Linked DNA regions of Struthio camelus. The protein of the gene in region 3 purifies or fractionates together with the protein of the main gene of each other region. This does not show direct contact. Links are inferred from orthologs where the notes say so. Each region holds a gene or a part of one and is shown on either strand. Other genes may lie near its edges.

What was found.
Region 1: the proteins of GRB2 (region 3) and PTPN12 purify together in Homo sapiens (affinity purification with mass spectrometry; 3 studies listed by BioGRID and IntAct, with this or other methods). This does not show direct contact. The link is inferred for Struthio camelus from reciprocal best matches to the Homo sapiens genes GRB2 and PTPN12.
Region 2: the proteins of GRB2 (region 3) and DOCK4 purify together in Homo sapiens (co-immunoprecipitation; 4 studies listed by BioGRID and IntAct, counting the BioPlex papers as one, with this or other methods). This does not show direct contact. The link is inferred for Struthio camelus from reciprocal best matches to the Homo sapiens genes GRB2 and DOCK4.

Annotation. Positions count from the first base shown.
Region 1 is NC_090942.1:13,931,955-13,939,917, reverse strand, and holds the start of PTPN12 (tyrosine-protein phosphatase non-receptor type 12), read left to right. Parts: upstream 1-4,954; 5' UTR 4,955-5,066; coding exon 5,067-5,165; intron 5,166-6,417; exon of another isoform or gene 6,418-6,719; intron 6,720-7,963. UniProt on the Homo sapiens protein: Dephosphorylates a range of proteins, and thereby regulates cellular signaling cascades. Dephosphorylates cellular tyrosine kinases, such as ERBB2 and PTK2B/PYK2, and thereby regulates signaling via ERBB2 and PTK2B/PYK2.
Region 2 is NC_090942.1:31,277,320-31,285,239, reverse strand, and holds the start of DOCK4 (dedicator of cytokinesis protein 4), read right to left. Parts: upstream 3,010-7,920; 5' UTR 2,898-3,009; coding exon 2,861-2,897; intron 1-2,860. Other genes in the region: ZNF277 (zinc finger protein 277), read left to right, coding at 3,258-3,315. UniProt on the Homo sapiens protein: Functions as a guanine nucleotide exchange factor (GEF) that promotes the exchange of GDP to GTP, converting inactive GDP-bound small GTPases into their active GTP-bound form. Involved in regulation of adherens junction between cells.
Region 3 is NC_090960.1:8,334,819-8,342,014, forward strand, and holds the start of GRB2 (growth factor receptor-bound protein 2), read right to left. Parts: upstream 3,015-7,196; 5' UTR 2,930-3,014; intron 2,016-2,929; 5' UTR 1,833-2,015; intron 1,112-1,832; exon of another isoform or gene 976-1,111; intron 1-975. UniProt on the Homo sapiens protein: Non-enzymatic adapter protein that plays a pivotal role in precisely regulated signaling cascades from cell surface receptors to cellular responses, including signaling transduction and gene expression.

The DNA of each region.
Region 1 (7,963 bases), on a different chromosome or scaffold from region 3:
AGAGTGAAAAACTGCAAACTCTTGAAGATGTGGATTCCTCAAGTATTTATACAACAACAAAAGGACATTTTCTCTTTTGTTCTTGATTCCTTTTCTACTGATTTCCAGCACTATGTTTGCAGTCACTTTACCTGGCGATTATACTCCATGTGCCAGTTCTTGCATGTGCCGGGTCCTTATCCCAAATTGTACTGTCTTCAATGGTAAAGATATTTCTACATCTGTAAATATAACAGTGTATTGGTTTTGTCAGAAAGCAGGAAAACTGGCAAAATTGTTTCATGTGAAAAATTTAACTTTTGCAGAAATAGCATTTCCCATTGGAAACCCACATTTTTAGACAATTTCCAACCAACTCTAAATACATTGCAAAAGCATATTTTAAACCTTATGAAAGCATATAATTTTTATCCTAAATAATCTTGATTATAAAAATACTTTTCAGACACTCTGTATAGATAAAATTTGTTGGGATTTCACGTCCAGGACATATTCATCATAATTGAATTATAATTACAGTAATATTAATAATTACACACCACTGTTACTAATATACTGTTACTCCAAACAGCTAGCTAAAATATGAGCATTTGTAAGTTATTGTGAAAGGGAGGAGAAATAAGTGATGAGGTCAACTATTACTGTAATGTAATCGTGCCAGTTTAAAAGGAACATACCAAGCCTTGCTCTGCAGAGGAAAGGAGGAATCAAACAAGGTGATGCCCTTACTCAGAGCTGTAAGGCTCTTTCAGCCTCCCCCGCAGCTCAAAAGCTCTCTTTGATTTCTTTAGGGAACAGAGTTTTGGTAGGATCTGTGCTATTTTTTGAGCATGAGTCCAAGCCCATACCAGAGCCCAAACTGATATTGCAGACAGTTCTGCGGTGAGACTATGCCCCACCACAGTCTTCAGGCAAACTCTGAAGCTTGGCAAGCTGGGAAGTTTGGGATCCTGCTACTTCTTCCTACACCCATCCATTGGCTGGGCACAAGAATGCTGTCTGTGCCACGAAACACATTTACTAGTTAATGACACATGCTTACCTTGTAGGGACAGAAGAAGCTATCTCTGAACAAAAAAATGGCTGCCCTCTGTCCTTGCAAGCAGCTGGAGTTGTGTGGGGGAAGGCAAAATGAGATTAATAGCAAAAAAGCTGCAGGTGAGCTACCTGAGTCTCTCCAAGGACCATACTTGTATGGATTGTTAAGATACAACCACCATGTACTTCTACAGATTTTGGTTGCAGCTTCCTGTTCTATCTGCAGGGTGAGTAATTCACCCTGTGTCTTGCTCTCTTTTTCCGCCTCTCTCCTACTTTTACACATATATAGACTCATGCACACATGCTAGATTGGTCAGACGTCTGGGTTTAGCTCAGACAGTTTGAGTTTCAGATCAAAAGTCTGGGTTCAAGCACTGTTTCTGCTGCTGAAAGTTTAGGTTTCTGTGTTCACGCCAGAGAGATGAGACAGCCCAGCGCAACCGGGTAAAACTAGTGCTGTTGGGTTTGTGCTCAGGAATATCTGGCAACTCTAACACGTACACATGCCTATGCAAACAATGCTAAGTAAAGTTCTCCACCCAGGTATTTCAAATTTCTTTGTTTTGTATATGCCTTTGTTTTGGCTGGTGACACAGGCCTGGTTTGGGGGGCTTTTTTTTTTTTTTTTATTTTTTTTGAGATTGTATATTCTTCTTATTAGGTAACTCAAATGAAAGGTCATTGTTACATTTGCACTGTAATAAACTGTTTTAAACTCGCAACAACAGATTATGAACCAGTCCAGATCAATATCGTGTGTATTTTTGATGTAAGGCAACGACGACATAAGAACCAATGCAAGAAACTATGACCTTTCCTCCTCTGCTGATCACAGAACGGTTTAGGTTGGAAGGGACCTCTGGAGATCATCTAGTCCAACCTCCGTGCTCAAGCAGGGACCTCTAGAGCATATTGCCCAGGATCACATCCAGATGGGTTTTGAATATCTCCAGGGAAGGAGACTCCACTACCTCTCTGGGCAACCTGTTCCAATGCTCTGTCACCCTCAAGTCCTCTGTAACTCTTATCATGTGAATGAGTGAGTGGAGTGAGGAAGACCATACCACATTCAAGACTTTTCATCCATGCTTAGTCCCAACGATCATTTTTTTACAGTTTCATGCCTTCTGGCCCGTTGAACAGGTTTGCCAGGCAACTACCGAGCAAATTAAGCAACTTTCCTGAAGCAAAAAGAAATTAAAGTGGTATGAAAAGATCATATGAAGAATCATCACATTATTGTCCCTATTATTACTTACATATTGCTGTTTTTGTTGTATCCTTACTGGTCTTTCCAAGTCATATCTATCCTTCCGGGTGATCACTATTGTGCCCTTTCTATCTATGGCTATGTCCTTTTTTTTTTTTTTCTTTTTTTTTCCTGTTTCCCCTTAATGCTGCTTTAAGGTAGGAGAAAAAGAGGAGAAGAAGAGGAGAAGGAAAAGAGAGATTAAAGAAAAGCAGGCATCTTTGTGGCTCTTCAGGGCTGATTATCTCACAGAGACTGAAGGAAAGGACATGAAAGGGCAACCAGGCTCTCCCAGCTGACGTGATTGTGTTGGATATTCACGCTACTTTTGTGCAGTGGCGTTGAGGCTTCAATGCACAAGGGAGCTCCTCAAGACTCAGTACCTCAGCACAACACTGACTCCCTTTCCCAGTTCCTTGATGTGTCCTTCTGTCCCTCATGCATTAGCCTCCAAGACCACTAACTGCTAAAAAAAAGCCCTTTGCAAGAGGCTGAAGTCTCTAGTAAATCATGCAAGAACACAAACCCTCCCAATTTTCCAGCCTGGCCCTCTGCCACAGATGATTGCTTCTGCAGCAGAAAGAAATGTGTGTCCATGCACCAGCAGCTGCATAGTTCATAGTCCTTTGCCTTGGCTCAAAACTTCCCTTCGCTAGGAATATACGTTAAGTTGATGGACAGTGATTTGGGCTGAGGGTGGAAAACACGCCATTTTGCTGACTCTGTTATCAAGGTGGTAATCCTTAGCAGTCATCAAAGATGGCAATATCTTAGATCTCAATAGGAAGGCCAAGTTTTATGTAGGTTTGTTTCAGTAGCAAAGCCAGCTTAACGGTATCATCTCAGAGGAGGAAAAAAAACCCATACCTTTTCTATTGGGTTGTATTTCAGCTGAATCAGCTCCTTGACCTGGCTCGGTGTATGGTCCCACAAACTGTTTTGCTTGCTCAGCTGTGAGGGCAACATCCTACTGTGGGTGAGAATTAGTAGTAGAGAATGAGTGATTTGGTAGAAATGCCTTTATGGGGTTATGCTGCTCACATAGAGCTTCTTTATTAGCCTGTGTTACAAAATTTTATTGTACTAACTACATCAATAAAGACTGTGCAGCTCTTTACCAATAAAATGATGCTTAAAAACATTACTAAGTATATTTATTATGCTATAAGGCTATATATACACACATAGAATTATTTTGTTTTCCTGAAGCAGAAGCTATAAATGTAATCAGGGAACTAAACCTGTGGACAATATCTTAATGAGTTTAATCATTTTATCTTATCAAAAAAAGAATACAGGTGGATTTGCACGTACAGTGGGTGAAAATTCCTGCTTTTTTTGAACACCTTAACTTTGAAACCTTTGTTGAAAAGCATTAGGTATTTTTAGCTAAGATTGGACTGCTTCACTCTGACATTTACATTTTTCCCTTCTGAGTTTATTAAGCCCGATATAAAAGCAGAACTAACATTGTAGACATGATGTTATTAATCATAATAACACATCACAATAAATTAACTTCTTAATGTAAAAGAAGGGCCAAAATAACACTCCTTCATCTTACTGGCTCTAAACGTCTTGACATTACCAACTTTAAGAAAGCAAAACATATTTTCAAGTAAAAAGGATCGACGCCCCTGAAGACATTTCCCTCGCAACAACATAGCATTTTTTGGAGGAAAGAAAAAAAAAACCCCTCCTCCTGTCAGAGCTTTTTAAACCAGATCTAGACTCCCCGCAATACTCTGAATGCGACGACAAAGGTCCCCACTGAAGAAGGAACGGTCCGGACCCCCAGCGCCTTAGAAACACCCACGGGGCAGCGCTGCCGCCAGCCGCCTCTCGTCGGATGAGCGCAAACACAGAAAAGGGGGAAAACAGCCGCCGGCGCGGGGCCGCGGCCCGCTGCCCCCGCCATCTTCCCGCCGCCCCGGTTTACCACAGCGGCGCGGCCCGCTCGGCCTCCGGGGCGGGCGGCGGCAGCAGCCCTGCACCCCGCCTCGGCCTCCTTCCGCGGCTTGAGCCTTGCCTCCCCCCACCCGCGGAGGGGCCACTTCCCGCCGGGCTTTTCAGCGGGGACCCTCAGCGAGACGGTAACACGGACAAACCCGCGCCGCAGCCCCGCCTCCGCCGCTGGGCTGCCCCGGCGGGCGCCGCCGCCCCGGCGCGACTACAGGTCCCGGCATGCCGCGCGCGGCGCCGGCCGCAGCCCCACAGCCTGGGAGCTGTAGGCGCCCGGCAGCCCCGCTATTGTACTCGGGCCAAGAGAAGCCGCGCTCAGGCCTCCCCTCCCCCGCTTTCCCAGTGGTGCTCCCCCTCGGGGCTGGGCTGAGGCGGTGATTAGCGTGCGCCGCCACCAATGAGACGGGGGCTGAGGCGTGAGGGGCCAATGGGCGGGGAGCAGGGGCGGGCCGACCCCCTCCCTCTCCGGCTGGGCGGGAGTAGGAAACGCCAGCGGGGCTGGTGGCGCGCCTGCGCGGGGGGAGGGAGAAGAGGAGGTGGGGATTTCGTCGTGTGGTTGTGTCGGTGGCGGCTCCCGGGGCGGGCCGGGCCGGGCCGGGCCGGGCGGAGGGAGGGAGGGAGGGGAGAAGAAGAGGAGGAGGAGAGAATGGAGCAGGCGGCCGCGCGGCCGTGAGCGGGGTGGGGAGCCGTGCGCGCGGCCGCGGGGCAGGCAGGCCGGGGCGGCGGCGGCGTCGGTGACGGGCTCGCGCGGCGGCGGCTTGAGGCGCGGAGCGGAGCGGGCGGGGCGGGAGCTGCCGCTCGGCCGGGCGGCAGGATGAGCCAGGAGGAGATCCTGAGGAAATTCATCCGGCGCGTCCAGGCCATGAAGGACACGGACCACAATGGGGAGGACAACTTCGCCAGCGACTTCATGGTGAGGGGCGGCGGCGGCGGCGGGGCGCGGGCCGGGCTCTCGCCTCCCCTCAGGGCTGGGGAGGGTCCCGCCGGCCGGGCCGGGGGGTGGGAGGGCGAGGTGCCGACCCCCCTGGGCTGCCGCTGCCCGGTTCCTGCCGCTGCCCTCGGCCTCGCCTGCCCGATCCCGCTGCTCGTCAGGGTGGGAGGGGGGAGGAAGCGGAGGGAGAAGCATCGCTTCCCTCCCTGCCCGTGACCCACTATTGTGTCGCCGCGGGGCGCGGACGGCTGCCGCCGGCTCTCCGTGAGCCCCCCCGGCGGGGGGGGGGGAAGGGGGGCGGCCGCCGCCTTCGCCGCGGGGCGCCGCGCCGCCGCAGCCCCCTGCGCCAGCCCCGCTCCCCGGCGGGGGGCTCCTCGGAGAGCTTTCGCCCTCATCGCGGTAACCGGCCGTTGCCAAACTAACCGGCGGCTCCTCTCCTCCCCCCCCCCCCGCTTCCCTTCCTGCGGAGATAAAGGGGACGGGGCGGGCTGTGAGCTCCTGCCCTGCCTGGCAGCCCCTGCCCTCGCGGCTTGCCTGGTACCGTGTCAGCTGGGGCTAAGCGGGCGTTTCTTTCCCCCCTTTATTCGTCTCTGCAGCTGCCTGCTTGACGCTCTTATCCTTTCCGCGGAGAGATGTTAAGTGTATTAAATATTCCTCGGAGGAATACGCATCTTCCCGTTGGTCCCCATCCCCCCATCGCAGCCCCGGCTGTATCCCTCGTCCTTTCTTCCCTCCAGAGCAGTTCACCGTCGGCCTTTGGTTAACGTGTGCGCTTGGGCGGGGAGGGGGAGGAATTTAAATGGAGAATTAGGTCTTTTTCCTGGTTTTATTTTAGCTGCTTAGTCGGGCTGCTAAAATGTCTGAGGTGGTTTATCTTTTGAATAGAAGATATAAGCCGGGGACAATAACTCTGATTGGGCAGATGCCGCTGACACTTTTCAGTATTGTTTAAACACTTGATATGAAAATACAATTTGACCCGCAGAAGAGCTAAAGGATGGCAGGCTCTGCGTATCTTGGTAGCTCTCGTGGTTATCTGGCGATGTTTGGGATAAAAGCACGCCGTTAGCCTTTTGAGCTCTCAGCCTTTGATAATGGTCTGGGAACAAAAAAAAAAAAAAATCTGGATGTGAAGTGCCGCATCAGGGATTGTCTGAGCTGCGGGGAGGAGGCTGCGGATGTTGCGCAAGGCTGCGGGGCGCTGGGAGCGCTGGCAGGTCGGCGGCGGGGGAGGAAGTGGACTTGGGAAGCGGCGAGGCCGGCCGGGGCGGGGAGCGGCGGGGCCCGTGGGAAACCCGCGCCCGCCTCGGCAGCGATCTGCCAACACCGGAATATTCAAGCATGTGGGAAAGGAAGAGAGAGGCGATGGGAAGTTAAGAGCCCCATTCGAGTAACAGTGTAATTCTAAGGTCGTTTCACGTAATGCAACGTCCTCACGTGGTCATTCAAGAGTTAAATATGCTGACAGGACCTTTTCGTTAAACGATTGTCTTAGAAATATGACTGCTGTTAAATATAGATCGATCCATTGTACTGGTGAGTCTGCCTTGTTCTCTTAAGCTAAACATTTTATAGAAAGGGTATCCTGGACTGGTGGAAAATGTGGGATTTTTAAAATAGCCTTTCTGTTAAATACTTTAAATACTAGATTTTGTAATCAACTTTTGCTGTTTCATATCTGATCAATAGCCTAATGCTTTACCTCTGTTATAGTCAAATTGCATACATGTGATTTTTTAGCCTTTCTTATAAGTCATGACACTTCTGTATGGAAACTTTTTTTTGTATTTTTGCATTTCTGTATTTGACAGCATGTTTATACAGCTTTCAACTGTTTGGTCAGTAAGCTTTGCCGTTGCTTTCGTAGAGCATCAAGGAAAGAAAGTGCTTTTAAAAAAAAGTGGAAAATGTGGTTGTAGAAACTAATCGGCAAGGCATCTCAGGAGAAATATGTATTACCTGAAACAACAGTAAATCCTTTGAAAGTGATTGCATTTTTTTTGTCCTTTTAACACTTTCTATTTCAAACTCATTATGCTTTATTTCTGCATAATAAATTAAAGGGAATAACTTAAAGGGAAGCGGGGAAACTAGAGTGCTGGTCTTTGACATGATATTCTCATTACTTTCAATATTCATCTGCATATAAATAAAGCAGGATGGCCAGATTAGGGTGATCACAAGAATTGTAATTGCTGAAATTTTTTCACTAAGAACAAATGTATTTTTGCCATGCTTCTTTCACAAAGCCATGCTTAGATGCTATTTAAAACGATTGAAGTGAGGAAAGAAAAGAGAAATGAAGAGGGTAAAAACCTTCCATGTGGTTTTCTTTAATAGTTAATAGCGATTTTTCTGGGAGGAAGGGAAGAGGGAGGCAGTATTTCTCATTTAAGTGCAGGATGTACTGTTGCTGCTAAGCAATGGCAAGTTAGTGGAAAAGGAATTGCTGTTACTCATCGCTTCATTTCCAAGTCGAGATGGAGTCTAAAAATAGACATGGAATAGTGAGTGAATGCAACTGAAAACAATTTTTTATTTTCACATCTTTATTGCTTCAGTAATTGGCTTACAGAATTATTTTTAAATCTGAGTGAGTGAACTGAGTACTTCATAGGTATCAGGGACTTCTGGAAGAGGTGGTAAAGAAGCTGGAATCATGCAGTTATAGACTGCAGTTGACTGAAGTCTTCTGATTAGTCTGACTGAATGTTACTAAAAGCCCATGGCATAGATAAGTTTGACCGCTATTTAATAATGCCATTGATGTACCTAAAAAC
Region 2 (7,920 bases), on a different chromosome or scaffold from region 3:
AAGTGACTCATTTCAAAGGGTATTGCAAGCAGCACCTTATAAATTCATATAGAACAGCACATTAGAAATTCTATGGGAGCCAACTCCCACTATATCCGACTTTTTTTTGGCTGTTAATTCTAGCAAACTGGTAGATCTGAAGTGTCACTGCTCCTACCCTCACATCAGCTACTTTGTGCTAAATACTCCTTAGAAGTGTCCAGTGGAGCCTTTGTGTGGTGATGTCAATAGTTTGGCACAACAGCTGAAGGCATTATACAAAGACAAATAGCATAACAGAGCGAAATACAGAAGTTTAACCTTCTGATTCCAGAACAAAGGTATCAAAACCTAGACAAAGTAAACTTTCTCAATAATGAAAATATTCCGAAGCTTATTTCACCTTCGGCATCCTGAAAGAAGATAGTAACTGGTAAGGTCTATAGCCTTAGAAAGAAAAACCCCAAAACTACACAACACCCTTTGTACCATAAAAGTAACAGTTGTACTGCCATAATGAAGAAACATTATCTACTAGTAAATAAACTCAGAAGAGTAAACCAATCTGATCAGCAGAAAACAATTAAAAATTGCCAGCAACTAGCATGTATAAGTTTCACAAATGTGTACAAGAGAAGACTGTGTTACTTGTATTACATACTCCTCAAAGCAGGAGTTAGTCAGGCTGTGCAAGTAAGCAACAGCCACCTGGTTACCAGCAACCCTTCAGTGCAACCAGGTGGCTGTTGCCTGGTGATTCATCCATTTTGGCATGTGACAGCAGAAATGTGCAGCGCACAGCATGTGCTGCAAAATTCAGATTGAAAATGCAGATGAGCCCTGATGTTGATACGAGCCCTGAGCTCTCGTACCAAGGATACATATGTTCGGTCTAACCAATCAGGATTCTCAAAGGGGTTTTTATTATGCGCCCATTTTACTAGGGGAGTTAAATATAACAGTATTTAAAAAAAATAATACTACCACCACACATACACAAGGCACAAAATTGTTTGTAAACACAATAATCCCATCATTTAAAGAAGTGGGGGTGTATGTGTAAAACACTAGTTTATTTACAAAATCCACTCTACATGAAGTTTAAAGAATAATATATGACAAGACAACTTTCTCCTGCCTCCCTCACTCCTGTCACAGAGTACAATAGCTTTATTACAATCGGGTGTAAAGGTTTTGCAGACAGTACTCAACAAGGAAGTCCATAAACATGTAATATAAAACAGTGCCTGAAAAAGATTAAATGGCTTCTGGATAGCAACATTTTGCAAGGGTTGTATGACCTATGATACCAACCCTGTCCTAGGGGTGGAGAGGAACCAAATTTTAACAGTTGCTTTTTGTTATTATCTTGAACAGTCTTTGGAAGGCAAATCACAGAAAAACAGAGAATGAATCTCAATAAGCATCTTTCTTGTTGTGACTACTATACTTACACAGACAAAGAGGACTCTTGCAATGAGTTACATTCTTCTGGTTCTTCCACAGAAAGGCCACTACTGAAAAACTACAACCATACATCTTTAACAGGTGTAAGATTTTGGTAACATAAGCCCTTATAAGTAAAAAGCTGGACAACGATTCACGTTTAAGCACCTGATAAGGCTTACTAAACACGAGGGAGGGGGGTTGGCCAAGCATTTTTTTTTTAATTATGAAAGAACAATCATTTTTAGCTCATATGCTGTCCCCCCCTCTCCCCCAAAATGGGTCAGTTGTGAAATAGCCCGTTATGCTCAAAAATAAATAAATAAATAAATAGACCAAGAGGAGGGCTGCAGCTTGAAATACTTGACTGCTAATATCCTGCATGCCATTCCAGGAAGTCCCACAGTGGTTTTTAAGCCTCTGCCCATCGTTGTAAAGAAAGGCGAATGGCAAGGCTAATCAATATCTTGCAGCCCAGCTGTGACCCGGCAAATAAAGAAGTCAAGAAAATAAATCCCACCGATGATCTCTATAATTTAACATTTGGAGGGCAGCAACACCTGGGACGCGCTCCAAGCGGGACGGAGCGGGGCGCCGCGCCGCCGGCTTCCCCGCTATCTGCTCCGCGGCGCGCGCGCCCCGTTATACACGCGCACACAAAGAAGGTCTCCGCACTCCTCGTGCTTTTCCCATAACATACACAACTCCATGCTCAAACGCAACGTAAACACACGGAAAGCGCCTTGCGACGCCAGGGATCGGCGCCACGGCTCGGGCTGCGCCCGTGTCAAACCACGGCTATTGTCCGGGACAAGCCACCGAGGCTTATCAAGCATTAGGGTTTTTAATAGGTGGTGTCAAAAAAACCACAATGAGCCTCCCTAATCGCTTCATAAGTCAATTCAAACGGGCTCCAGAGCCCCGCCGCAGGGGGGGGGGGGGGGGGAACAGGCACGAAAACGTGACTCCCGCGAACGGCACTTTGTCTGGGCTTCGCGAGCGGAGCGACAAAAGCCCTCCCGCGCCAACAAAGCCCGCGGCACCGGCAGCGGCCGCCTCACTCCCGCCGGGGCTCCCGGGCGCCGCTGTCCCCCGGCGGCCGGTCAGGCAACACCGGCCCCGCCGGGGACTCCTGCCGGGGCCGGGCTGAACTCCGCGCGAGCCGGCGGGCAGGGGCCGCGCGGGGGGCGGCAGCCCGCCGTGCCGGCCGCGGACGGGCTCAGGCAGCGGCCGGCCGCCCCCCGTCACCGGGACGCCGCGGCCGGCCGGCCGCCCGTCCACCCCCCGCCGCACGGAAAGGGCGACGCGGCCGCTCGCACAACGCCGCGAGCCGGCGCGGAGGTCGGCGACGGCAGCTCGCCCCGGCCCCGCGAGGTCGCCCGGGCGCGCCCCTCCCGCCGCCGGGCACCCCGCGGGCTCTCTTTCTCGCACTCACCCACGCCGTACTTCTCGTGCTCCGTGGGTATCCACATGCTCGCGGCGCGGCGGCAACTCCTCGGCTCGGCGCGGAGCGGCAGCGGCCGGCGAGCGCGTCCGCCTGCCCCTGCCAGCTGCTCCCGCCGCCGCCGCGCGTGCCCGCGCCTCAGCGGCGGCTGCCCGGCTCCAGCTCCGGCGGCACAGGCATTGTTCTCCTGCGCGGCCGACAGACTGAGGCGCGCTCGCCGCCCAGCCAGTTATATGGCCCCGTCCCGCGGCGCCGGGGAACGCAGCGCCTCGGCGCGGCCGCGCCTCTGCGCGCCCGCGGCCGGCGGAGACTACGAGTCCCGACTGGCCCCGCGCGCCCCGCGGGGGCGGGGCCGCGCCTCACGCCGGGGCGGGGCCACGGCGGCGGCATGGCGGCGGCGGCGGCGGCGGCGGCGGCGGCGGCGGCGGTCCCGTCGGAGCGGGCCGGTGAGCGCGGGGCGGGGCGGGGCGGGGCGCGGGGGCTCTGCGGCCGTTGCTGGCGCGGCCGTTGTGGGCGCGGGGCGCGCGGGCAGCTGGGGGAGGGGCGATGTGGTGCCGCCGTGGCCGCGCGGCTAGAGCAGCTTGCTGCGGGCCGCGTACGCTCCCGCGGAGCTGCCCGGCGGCCTCCTGCGCGCGTGGGAGCCGGTGACACCGGCGCCTCGCCAGCACCGCTCCGGGGTAGAGGCAGCTGTGACCGAAGTTAGGCTGGTTCAGGCCTGCGATTGTTAATTGGTCGGAGCAGTAATTCACAAATGGGTTTGATTAGAGTCTTTAAATATGAAGAGAGTCACGGGTTTGGGCGAGCCTTCCGATGGCGAAAGTCCTTTTTTGGGGGTCCTGCTGATGCCACTCCTGTACTTCGTAAAATATAGCACCCCTCCCCCCCGGCGCCGAGGATTTAGCACGTGAAACCGAGGGGAGAGGAAGAAGCTTCAGCAGTGAGTTATGCTGGAGCTGTAAGGGGTGCCAGAGAGGTGGGACATCCAGCTGTCCAGCTGGGCGGCCTTCTGACCTCCCAAATAAATCTGTATCTCCCCAGGCACATACACGGAGATAAAGAAAGGGGGATGGCGTACAGGGAGGAGCACAAACGGAACAGCTGGGTGACAGTCTGGGATAAGTCTGGCAGTGTAGGAACACCCACTCCTCTACCCGTGATGAGAAGCCTAGAAAAATACAGCTGTGCCCTTCCAGGAGCAGTTTAGGTAGAACTCACCTCAGGTAAAACGCAAGAAGGTCCTAGACTGAACTGATCTTTGCGTGAGGAACCAGAGTAACTGGGACGCAGAGGCAAGAGCTTGTTCTGGTCCTGTGGGAAGGAACAGATTGAAAACAGGGAAGACCTCCAATGATGCGATGCCACTCTGCAGGCCTCGCCAGGCACAAATCATCTCTACGATGACTAAGTCTGCTTAAAACAAAATGTTTTCCAATCAAATCGTCAGTCTCACCAGAAATTTTATGAGATGGTTCTGTTTGAGCTGAACAAAAAATTTTAGTTTTAATTTTTTCACGTTTAAGGGAGGAAAATGGTTCAAATTTGTTTCCGTTTAGGTTATTTTTTACCCTCTAATGCAAACCCTGGTCGCACTGCTGCCAATTTTTGCTGAATTTTTGGGTCACCTATAGCGTGAAAGGTGCAATAGAATTAAAAGTCAGGTGCAAACAGGCAGCTTCAAACCCATTTGTTAGAATGCGTTTATTCTGTATCTCTCCTTCTAGTTGTCAAACTTAGGTAGTGACTGATCTTTTAAGTGACCTTTGTGTTATTTCTGTAGTCTGTATGCTGTTTCTGTGCATAACATAGTATCATTTTAATTATGCTAGTAATTAAAGCAGCGTTTTTGCTTTATTTGTATGTATTGTATTGCGTTCACATAAACTTTTCCTGTACAGAAAGGTAGACCCTTCTACAGCACTTCCAGGCTAGTATAATTGCATCTACAGGTGGAGCTATGTTACTGTAATCGTTAAAAAAGTTAGACAATTGTGTCTGTATAAGTCTTCTGTGTGACACTGTATATAGGGCTACGGAGAAGAAGAGACAATGAGGTTTTTCCAAAGAGGTCTTGTAAAGACATGGGCACTGGTATGAAAAAAACTTATTCCATTGGAATTTAGAGACCTGAACTACATACTGTTTTCCTATTACTAATTCAAAAACTCACTGAACTTTTAATAGCTTTGCTCGGGATTCCCAGACCCACTTTACATCTTGTGGGAGATCCTTTGGAGTCCCTAGATGACAAAATGTGTTAAAGTCACTACAGAAGGAGGACTCCTCCAATTCAAAAGAATAGGACCAATTACTATTGCCAGGCTAAATAAACTTCTGTCCCAGCCTGTGGACTTCCATGTGCATCCAAACTAGCCTTGCCTCTGTGAGAGGGCTGGCAACATGTTGGCTGGGAGTCATGATGTTCTGCCATTCATAACTGCTGTCCCTCATGTTAACCATGACTGACTTCAGCGTGTTTGTATTAGGCTCAGAGCCTATCTTTCTCCTTCCCTTTGACAAGGACAAAACCAGCAAATAAGAGAAATATCCTTTCTAAAATTATTAATTTAAAATTTAGTCACTTAAGATAACAGATCTTATAGTATAAATCTAAATACCATGCCCTAACGTTTACCATGTCTCCGATTTTGAGAAAATCCCAACTCTTCCAGAAGCTTCATTTCTGCAAAACTGTTCACTCTAGCAACCTCTTGTGCAACTTGTATGTGCCCCTGAGAAGGTGTGTCACTTCTTTGGAGACAGGATATAGGAGAATTAGATATAACACTTTCTCCTGACTTCCTATTTCCTATTTACAGGAAAGACTGCGCTTTTATATTCTAATACAGGACTATGTGGCTTTCTTATTAGTTCTCTCCAGCAGCCCATTATGCAGTCTGCATTAATTATGCTACCTGTCAGCATTTCTTAACAGCATCTGTCAGTGATTTCTAAAATGAGGTTTCTTCCAGAAGTGTGTCTTTCATAGCTACATAGACATAGTCTAAAAGTTATGATTTCCTACTCAGGGTTTCAATGTGTTCAAATGCCTTTTAATGCTGTCTTCTTAGAGCATACCATGTCAAATCATGGCATGTTATTCTTATTCCTTCCACAACTGTCTTGTGTCCCACTTCAAGGGGAATTAGCTTCACTGTGGAAAACTCAAGTTTGACTGGTCTTGCAAAAATCTACGTTTTTCATTAACTGCCTAGAGGATGTTTCAGTGAAAGTTGTTTTGTATCTGATGCTGTCAGCCTCATTTCTTTATTTCAATTCTAAGTTCCCTTTCTTAAGAGTTTTATGAGCACTGCCAAATCCAATAGACTGTGGGACCCAGGGATTTCTCTTTCCCGGTCACTGAAGTCCAATCCAGAGTACTCTCAGACCCAGGAGGTCTCTCTGTCTTAGTTGGTGGATGCAGCTGCTGCTGTTTCTGTTTGCAGTTCAGGCCAATAGCAAGGCTGAGCATGTACTCAGAGGCATGCACACCTGCACAAAACTTAAATGGCTGGCCGCAAAGACTGCCACAGAACAGTACCTTTATCACTCCCTCCTAAACACTGAGCCTGCTCACATAAACAAGAACATTGTCTGCCCCATCTTGTTCCTTCTCTCCAGCTGATCAGGTCTGATGTTCATAGAGAAAACACACCTTTACTCTCTAGATTCTCAAGCACTCCCAAGTTCACAGATCCCTTAAATGTCAGCATGGGCTCTCTTCCTCTGTGTAATATCCATGCCTGGACCTTGGACCTCTTCCCCGCCTCCTGTCTCAGACCTTGATTCTTTCCAAATGTGGATCTCTTCCTACTCACTAGCTAGTTCAGCTTGATGCTAGCTGTGAATTGCACATACAGACACAAGATTAAAACTTGCTACGGAAGTACAAATACACCGTGGTCTCTCCAGTTGCTGCGCTTAAACCTTTCACGTGCACGCCCCATGTACCTACGTCGTGTGTACAGCCACTTCAGTTGTTGGCACCTTGGCGTATAAGCCTTCTGGGCCATGGTCCCTCCACAGCAGCTGGCACCCAGCTGACCTGTCAACACACGCTCCAGTCTCTCCAGTGCTGGCACCCAGATCTATGAGCCCTATGGCCTGCAGTCCCTTCCTCAGTTGCTGGCAGCCAGACCTCTCTTGCGTGCCAGTCCCTCTGATTGCTGGAATTTAGACCTTGCAGCAATCATGCACATGGGATAGAGAGATTACACAAAAATTAGAACAGGATTTCATAAGATAGGACAGACAGCAGTGATCAGGTGCAGGGCTCAGGAGTGTCCTGACTGGCAGCCTGCTTATAGGCTCAGCTGTCCACGCTGTTGCTTTGGTCTGACAATTTCTCTCCTATTGCCATTTCTTCTTTTATTCATCTTACTAACTGTCATACACAAACTGCTTTTGTATCCCTTTTCCACTCCTGCCATTCCATGCTTTTTTTAGAAAAAAAAAAAGTTCTATGCCACCTTTAATTCCTGTGTATCTCTTTAACCGCTCTCACCTTACCACTTTCCAGACCATCTCTGTGCCTGCTTCCAACCCTTCTTGCCTTTCCACATCTGTGATCTCCCATCACAGTCTCTGCATGTGCTTCCACAGGATTAAGCTTCATCAGGCCTGATAGAATTCCAACAGCAGTAAAGAATGTGAGGCAACACTTACCAAGACATGAGTGCTGAATTTTGGAGGGAGGGGAAGAGTTTCATTCAATGGGTAGGCATTATGAGCTCCTTAAAAGATGTTGGTATGACATAGGTTAATCATTATGAACAGCAACAACCAGCAGTTGCACCTGGATTATAGGTTCAGTGTTTAATTCTGTAAGTTCAATACAATTCGTTTTAATACGATTACAGAAATGAATCTCCTAAAACAGTATTGCATGAAAATGTTTGTTATCATTTGTTATGATCTATAAGTACAAATGTAGTCCGATAGTCATTTTAAATGGTTACCTGACAAGCACACAGACCATAGGGAGGACTGGAAATTATTTTAGTTATGATTGGTAAAATGATCTCTTATATTTGAATAGTAAAAAGGTAAAATCC
Region 3 (7,196 bases):
ACTCCTAAAATGCTACATTCTTGTCCAAAACCTCATCCACAAGGAAAACCATGCAAGATTTGAATTCCTTGTGTTCTGTATTTTATTGCTGTAAAATTAAAGATAACCGTGTCAGGTTGTCATCAGTAGCTTAACACTAACAAACATCAGTTTTGCAGAGAAAAACCTCATGTGGAACCTGTGGCATCACAGCCTCTGCAGAGAGCTACGGGGACAGTAAGAGAATCAAGCCTGAGGGGGACACATCTCTCCAGTCAGCCTGTCTACTGTAATTCACACACAAAAAACCTCAAACCTCCGTACAAAGAGGCAAAGCAAGCCCTCTCTACCACACCCCTCCGATTTCCTCCCCAGACTCTGCAGCAGTGTAGATGTCTCTCCAAATCATTGGCTGAGTATGTTCGCTCCTACTGTGTGGCCTGGCTTCCTGTGCCTTTGGCATCCAGCTCGGGCCTTCACCTCACGACTCCTTAGAGGCCTCCCAAAGGAGCCTCCCGCCGCTCTACGACAAAAGTAGCTTTTCAGAGGGGGAAGCCTGCAACGGCCCTGTCAGGGAGCCCCCCTCCCTCACCCCCCACAGCACCACCCAGCCATGATCTGCCTCTGTCACAGCACCGGGGCCCCAGGCGGCGCTCAGCATCCCCCCCCCCCCCCCAAAAAAAAAAAAAAAAACAGATCCTCCATCCCTGGAGGACTGCATCCCCCCAGCACTGCTCCCCCTCCGCAGCAGCCGGGCAGAGACGGAGGGACAGAGTCGCCGCCGTGGCGGCAGTGTTCCTCCTGGCCGCCGCAGGGGCCGGGCGGCCGGCCCTCAGGGCGGGCCGCCCTCTCAGGTCCTCCTCAGAGCCAGCCCCGTCCTGCCGCCGGGGCGGATGCTCGGCTTCGCGCGCCACCCCGGCCTAACCAATCACCGCACCGCGTACGGGCGGCCGCGCGGGGTCTCACCAACCAGGCGCCGGCTTGTTGAGGGGGGCCCGAAGCGCCGCCTCGGGTCCCTCGCGCCCTGGCGGGGTGGGGGGAGGGTGCCAGTGACCCAGATGGCGGCCCCGGCGGCGCGGGGGGAGGCCCGGCGGGCGAGCGGCTGCCCCGCCGAGACGGCCCGGCGCGGCGGGTGAGTACAGGCCGGGCGGCGCGGCGCGGCGGGGCGAGGCCGGGCACCGACCCGCCGCGCAGCGGGGCCTGGCGTGTCGCCCCCACCCGGGTCGCCACGGCGGGGGAGGCCGGAGGCAGGGCCGGGCCAGGCCGCCCCCGGGCTCCCGCGGCGCCGTCGCCTCCGGCCGCCCCCGGCTCGGGGCGGGGAGACGCCGCGCACCCGGCTCGGGCTCTCCTGCCGCCCCTCGGCGGGGGCGGAGGCCGCCACGCTCCCCTCAACCCGGGGCACGCGTGGGTGCGGCTGCCCCTAGCCAGGGGGACGCGCAGCCAGGGCGTTTCGGCAGCTGTGGGGGCTACCGGGGCCCCGGCCAGTCTGCTTATTCGAGCCAGGCTCCTGCACACCACAGTATCTCCTCCCAGGAGGAAGTTGGATGGGAAGTCACCCCCCCGTGAGAGAAGTGCCCCCACTGCCACACACAAAAAACCCAAAGCAAGCAAGGGAAACTGAAGTAGACCTAACAGGAGTTTGCATAACACACTGAACTAGCTTTCACTGGCTCATTGCTGTCATGGCACGCTTCATACTGTACATGAAGGTTTCAGGGAAAATTCAAAATTCTGAATAAAGTGCCCTTAACCTGCTTACCTAGATCATTTACAAGCTTAGATGGCAGCCTGGGATAATGCCGCCATCTGTTAATACAGCCGGTTGTTTCATTTTGCTTCACTCTTGCTCCTACCTCCTTGCAGGCTTTTGATCAGCAGGCGTCTATGGCATTCTGCTTTGCCTCAGACTTCCGCTTGTTTTCCTCTCCAAAAGTTGGGATCTCTGTAGTTCCTGGATTATGTTATTACTGTTTGTCAGTTGTTCAGAAGCTTCCTCCTTTCAGGTTAATACAAGCCATTTATTGATAAGGAAAGGCCTAAAAAAAACCCCAGTTAAAAGTCCCATTACATACCGTACAAGGAATTTATCTTAGACAATCCTGTCTACCCAAAAGGTAGACAAAAAAGGAGGGAGAACCTGCCCACAGGTGTAGAGGGTGTTCTGGTTATGCATTTAAGTCTCAATCCACACAAAAAGACACTCATACTGTAAAAAAGTTTCTTCCAAATTAGTCTTATCAGTTACCAAGACAGCTGCAGATACCAGCCTAATGCATTCACCCATCTTCCTGAGGCAGCTGCCAAGTAATACATACTATTTTCTTTTTTTTTTGAGGGAAAGTTTTATAGCATGCTTTTCAAAAAAAGCTATTATACTACAACTGCTGTAGTAGAATAAGTTCATATTTGAACATACAGCTCATACACAGTGAAATACAATTGTGTAGTGCATAACATTTATGAAATACTTTAGGTTTTTCCAAAATTTAATTCTTTATGTAAACAAAGTGTTACACTTTGATGCCCACTGCACTCTGTTAAACTAAAGGGCTTGCTCAAGTATCATAGCAAAGCTTGAATAACCTGGCAAGCATAGTTGTTTTTCTTTCAAAAGAGATCTGCTTAATAGAAGCGTATAAGTACTTAGGCTATACTGGTTTTATATAAGATATCCTGTGCTCTGTGCAGTAGTAGCTTATATTTCTTTGTTCTCTTTTACCTGAGCACATCAAAAACCTTTGCATATACATGTTTCTTAACTGTGGCTTTTTAACAAACACATTATCAACATTTTTAATTAATGAGAAGGTTAAGATATTTGTACTTTTAGCCTAGGTCACAAAAATATATATATTAATACTACAAGTAGAACCAAGGAAACAACCCTTTTTCCTCCAATATGTTACATCTCAAACACATCAAGTCTCTATAACTTTGAGGACAGCCTTACCTCTGTTACATTCCTATCCAGACTCTGACCATGAGAAGCCAGAGCAAGCACTCCTGAGAACGAGTTGCTGTAAACAAAAGGACATCCCAGAAGCAGGGGGTGGGTTGTGAGGGCTTATATACCCCTGTGACTTGGAGGGGATTGGCCAGGAGCAGGGCTGGGGCCAAGAAGGTCTGGCCAAAAGACAGGTCCTTTTGTAGGGTTGGCCAGAGGGAAAGTCCTGCCACCTGGCCTGCAAGGAGCAGAGTTTGCTCTGGGTTGGTTGGATTTATCTGTGATTATATATGGGACCATGTGTACAGTAAATAGGGTACAGAAGTTGTTGATCACAAAGCTTTAACGAAACTTGTTGTGAGAATGGCAAAATACACGATCTACTGAACTAGTCAATGCCTTTCCTACATAACAGTTGCGCTTTGTTTTGAATGTATGTAGGAGCTTGATCTTACTAATGGCCTTCAGGTGCCGTGCCTCTTCTGGGGAACTCCTAGAGAGCACCAGCCCATCAGCACTGCATTTGTTAAATATCTCCAGGTGGCAAACACTGCTATAAGAGTGTTTCTGCCTACCTCTACTGTAAACAATTATGCTTATAACAGCCTTACTTATAAGCTGGAATTAGGAGGAAAAAGCTGCACTTTTATCTGTGGGCCTCTGTAGGTCAGCAAAAATTTCCTGATTTTCCAGGAGATCCTATACATGCAATTTGGGCTTTTAACAATTTTATTTTGGGCTGTTACCTTTTTGAGTTTTTCTGGTGTATCGGTACTTTTGTTAATAGACATAGTTATACAATCCTGGTTACCATAGTTACTAAGTCATGACGATGAATGACATCTGTCACTTCTGCAGTGAATTCTTCCAAACATCTGCTGTAAAATGTTTTAGTTCTCATTTAAGGCATCATCCCACAAAGCAGATGATGTCTCACCACCGCTGCAGAAGCTGGAGGGGCCCTGATGACATTCAGATTTGGGCCTTTTGTTGCATTTTTCCCTTCAAACCAGGCTGAATACATGTGGCTGTGGCGGGCTCAGAGGCTGTGAGAAGGAAACAAGTACCTGAAGCAGAAAAGATAAAAGCTATCTTTAATCCACAAGCTCTCTTTTTTTTTTTTTTTTCTTCCAAGAAATGAAAATGAGCACAGCAAATAACTTTCAGATTTATTATACCGTAATATGAAACAGTATTGGCCTCTGTGGAGACAGTAAGATAGATTAAAGTAGACTGATCATTGTTTTGATCATATCTGTAAAGTTACTTCTTAATTCACCAGAACAAAATTAAAACAAAAATAAATATGTTCTTTTAATTGTGTTACATCTGTTCTTTTAATTGTGTTGCATCCTGTTTTACCAATCATAATCTTGCAAGTAAACCTATGTTGTTACTGAGGGCTGCATACCTGAGATAGAAATGGGTGCACCAAAGCTATTTCTTACTCCCCTTCCTCCCTCCTTGTTGCCCAGTTTCTGTTTTAAGTCCCCACTGTCTTTTGGAACAACAGTCTGATGTGTGAGTCCTTCGCTGAAGAAAGAAGGAAGAAGTCAGAGCTTAATTTTCCTGGAAAACTCTCTGCATATAGGATTTGAATAAAAGCTAATATTACCCTAGAAAGGCATAATTGTCAATTGGAAGCCAAATTTTATATTCATCCGAAGTTTAATTCTGTTACTGATTCAAGATAGCACTCTCTTAATTCCTGTCATTTTAGCAAGAGAAATGAAGTCTCTCTGAAATACACTATGGAGTCTTCACAGCCACGAACAACTGAGGCATTTGACCACCAGTGAGTTGATAATACTTAGCACATACACAACCCTAATTCGGAGGGTCTCACTTATTTTACAGATACTAATGAATTTGCTTCACAGTGTCTCTGTGAAGCAGATATGTATATTCCTCCTGTAACACAAGAATATCGAGGCAGAGAAAGTATAGCTTGCCCCAAATTTGACAAGTTAGGTTCTTCACAGGCAGATGCTGAAGACAAAAGTGTAAGTGCCATTTCTCTTGCTGTAATTACTTTGTACTCTCAGTGGGTCTCAAGTCAATTGACAGTGTCACTTTATGCACCTTTGGAAGCCCATCTGTCTGCAAATGTGCCTATGCTGCAAATTATCAGGCAGACATCAGCTATTCGTGAGTAGCAGGACCGTATGGTTCTGCTGATATCAAAACAGTCAGCTCTAATCTAAGCCGTTCTTTGCAAGGCAGCTGCTTTTTCTGTTATTATCTGCTCCCCTGTGTTTCTATTTTGGGTGACAGATCAGACTTCTGTTCTTGAGGAATTCACTTTTGGCAGCAAGAGATGTTCAGACTCCCCATCATTTTTTATAGATTCATCCATGTTGGGAATTTTCAGTAAATAACATGAAAGTATCAGCGATGCACCACTTCATGGAAAACACTATCATTAAGTTGATTTTTTTTTCTTCCCAAAGACTTGGAGTGTGTGCTGCTTCTGAAACACAGTTTTCTTTCCAAGTGTCTATTGGTTGTTTAATTATCTAATCTTTCTTTTTTACTAATCATGTTATAAATTTTGTACATTAGGTACCATGCTATATAGTTTCCTGCTGAATTTCAGCACTGATATCTCATATTGATGTTGTGAGGTTTAGTGGGTTGTGGTGCTTTGAAATCCTTGGATGAAAGATCTGAAAGCATAGCATTTATTTATTATCTGTAGTTTCCATACGACAGTGTTATTCTAAAGATGATTAGGTATATGAATGTTTGAATAGACCCTTGCAAAGCTCTGCTTCTGATATTCAGAAGGATGCTTCAAACACTTGATAATCACATCAGGCTACGAGAAGTGCTCTTCCCTCAGAGCACTCCTGAGCAGAAGTGAGTTAAGGGTGATAGGAATATTTTTTTTAATTTGGAAAGATCTGGATTACTGAATGCTGGTTCTAATCGCCTGAATATGCTGAAATTTGAACGCCATATCAGCCAGTTCTAAATTTCATTGGCTTCTAGGCATCAATGTACAGCATCCTGAGGAGAATGGAGGGAAGACTGAGGAAAACTGGGTGCAGTCAGAGCCTATGGTGTCTGGTTAGAACAGCCACAGCTTCAAGCATCTCTGTCTGTGGCTTAACACAGCAGGCCCACTAGCATGTTCCCCCAAAGCAATCCCACTTAATTTCTGCCCTGCTGTCTGGCAGAGTTTAATGTGTTGACAGCGTGAGTGACTTACTGCCCAGGCAGACAGAAGGGAGTTAAAATAGCCTTGCTGTTGGGTAGGGGTGATGGGGAGATGCATGTGCGAGAGTGGGAATTAGAGGGATCCCTGAAATAGAGGGGAGGGGAGCACCCAAGGGCCTTGTAGTGGGTGGAGCAGATGAATGCAGGATTCTGCAGGTCTCTGCAGATCTGTGCATTGCCCGTTGCCTACAGAATTCATGAATTGCTTCAGCTCCTCGTTCTGTGAGGCTGTGTTTTCTGATTGTGCACAAGGTGTCTGTAGTGCAGATAGGTGATTTTAATTGGCATGGCATAGTTCTTGCAAATATTCTTGCAGGCTTTTTACTCTGATAGAGCCTGTATTTGGGGGATGGGGGGAAAGTAGGTACATTACATTTTAGATGGCTCCAGTAAGAAACCTAGTGCAGAAATTTAGGAAAGATTGTTTCTCATTGTAGCCAGTCTTTGCCTTTGGCTACAGTTGTGCTAATAATAGGATATCCTAACATACCTAGGACTAGCTTTGTTTTGAATTTTTGGCTCTTAATAAAAATCCTTTTAAAAGTGTAATTCTACTCTGAAAAATGAAACTTTTTGCTTGTTTTGTATATCCAGATTGGCACAGGAAAGACGTGGCTTCTTTGCTTTCTCTGTTTGAAATGTCTATAATCTAACTATTGTTCACACCTTAAATAGGGAAGATGAGAGAAACTGAGCTGCTTATGGGTTTCAGATCAGTTGGTTCAGACTTTGGAGAAGCCCTAAGCATGTATGATGATGAGGCAGTGCTGGATGTACCACTCGTTACTTTTACAAGCTGTTATTACCTTGTTCATTATAACAGCTTTTGAATTTCTCTTGGCAGGGAATATTCCCTCTCTGCAACCAGTCTTTTGTATGTCTAACACCCTTGTTGTATACACTGCTTCATAGCACTGAAGGACTTCAGGGTGGTGTTCCTAAACATGCAAATGATATGCCTTGAACTTTAAGGAGTGGTGTGTTTCACGTTCAAGATCACATTTCAGCTTGGTGTCTAAAACAGAATGTCACTCACTGCATTGCAATGAAGCCT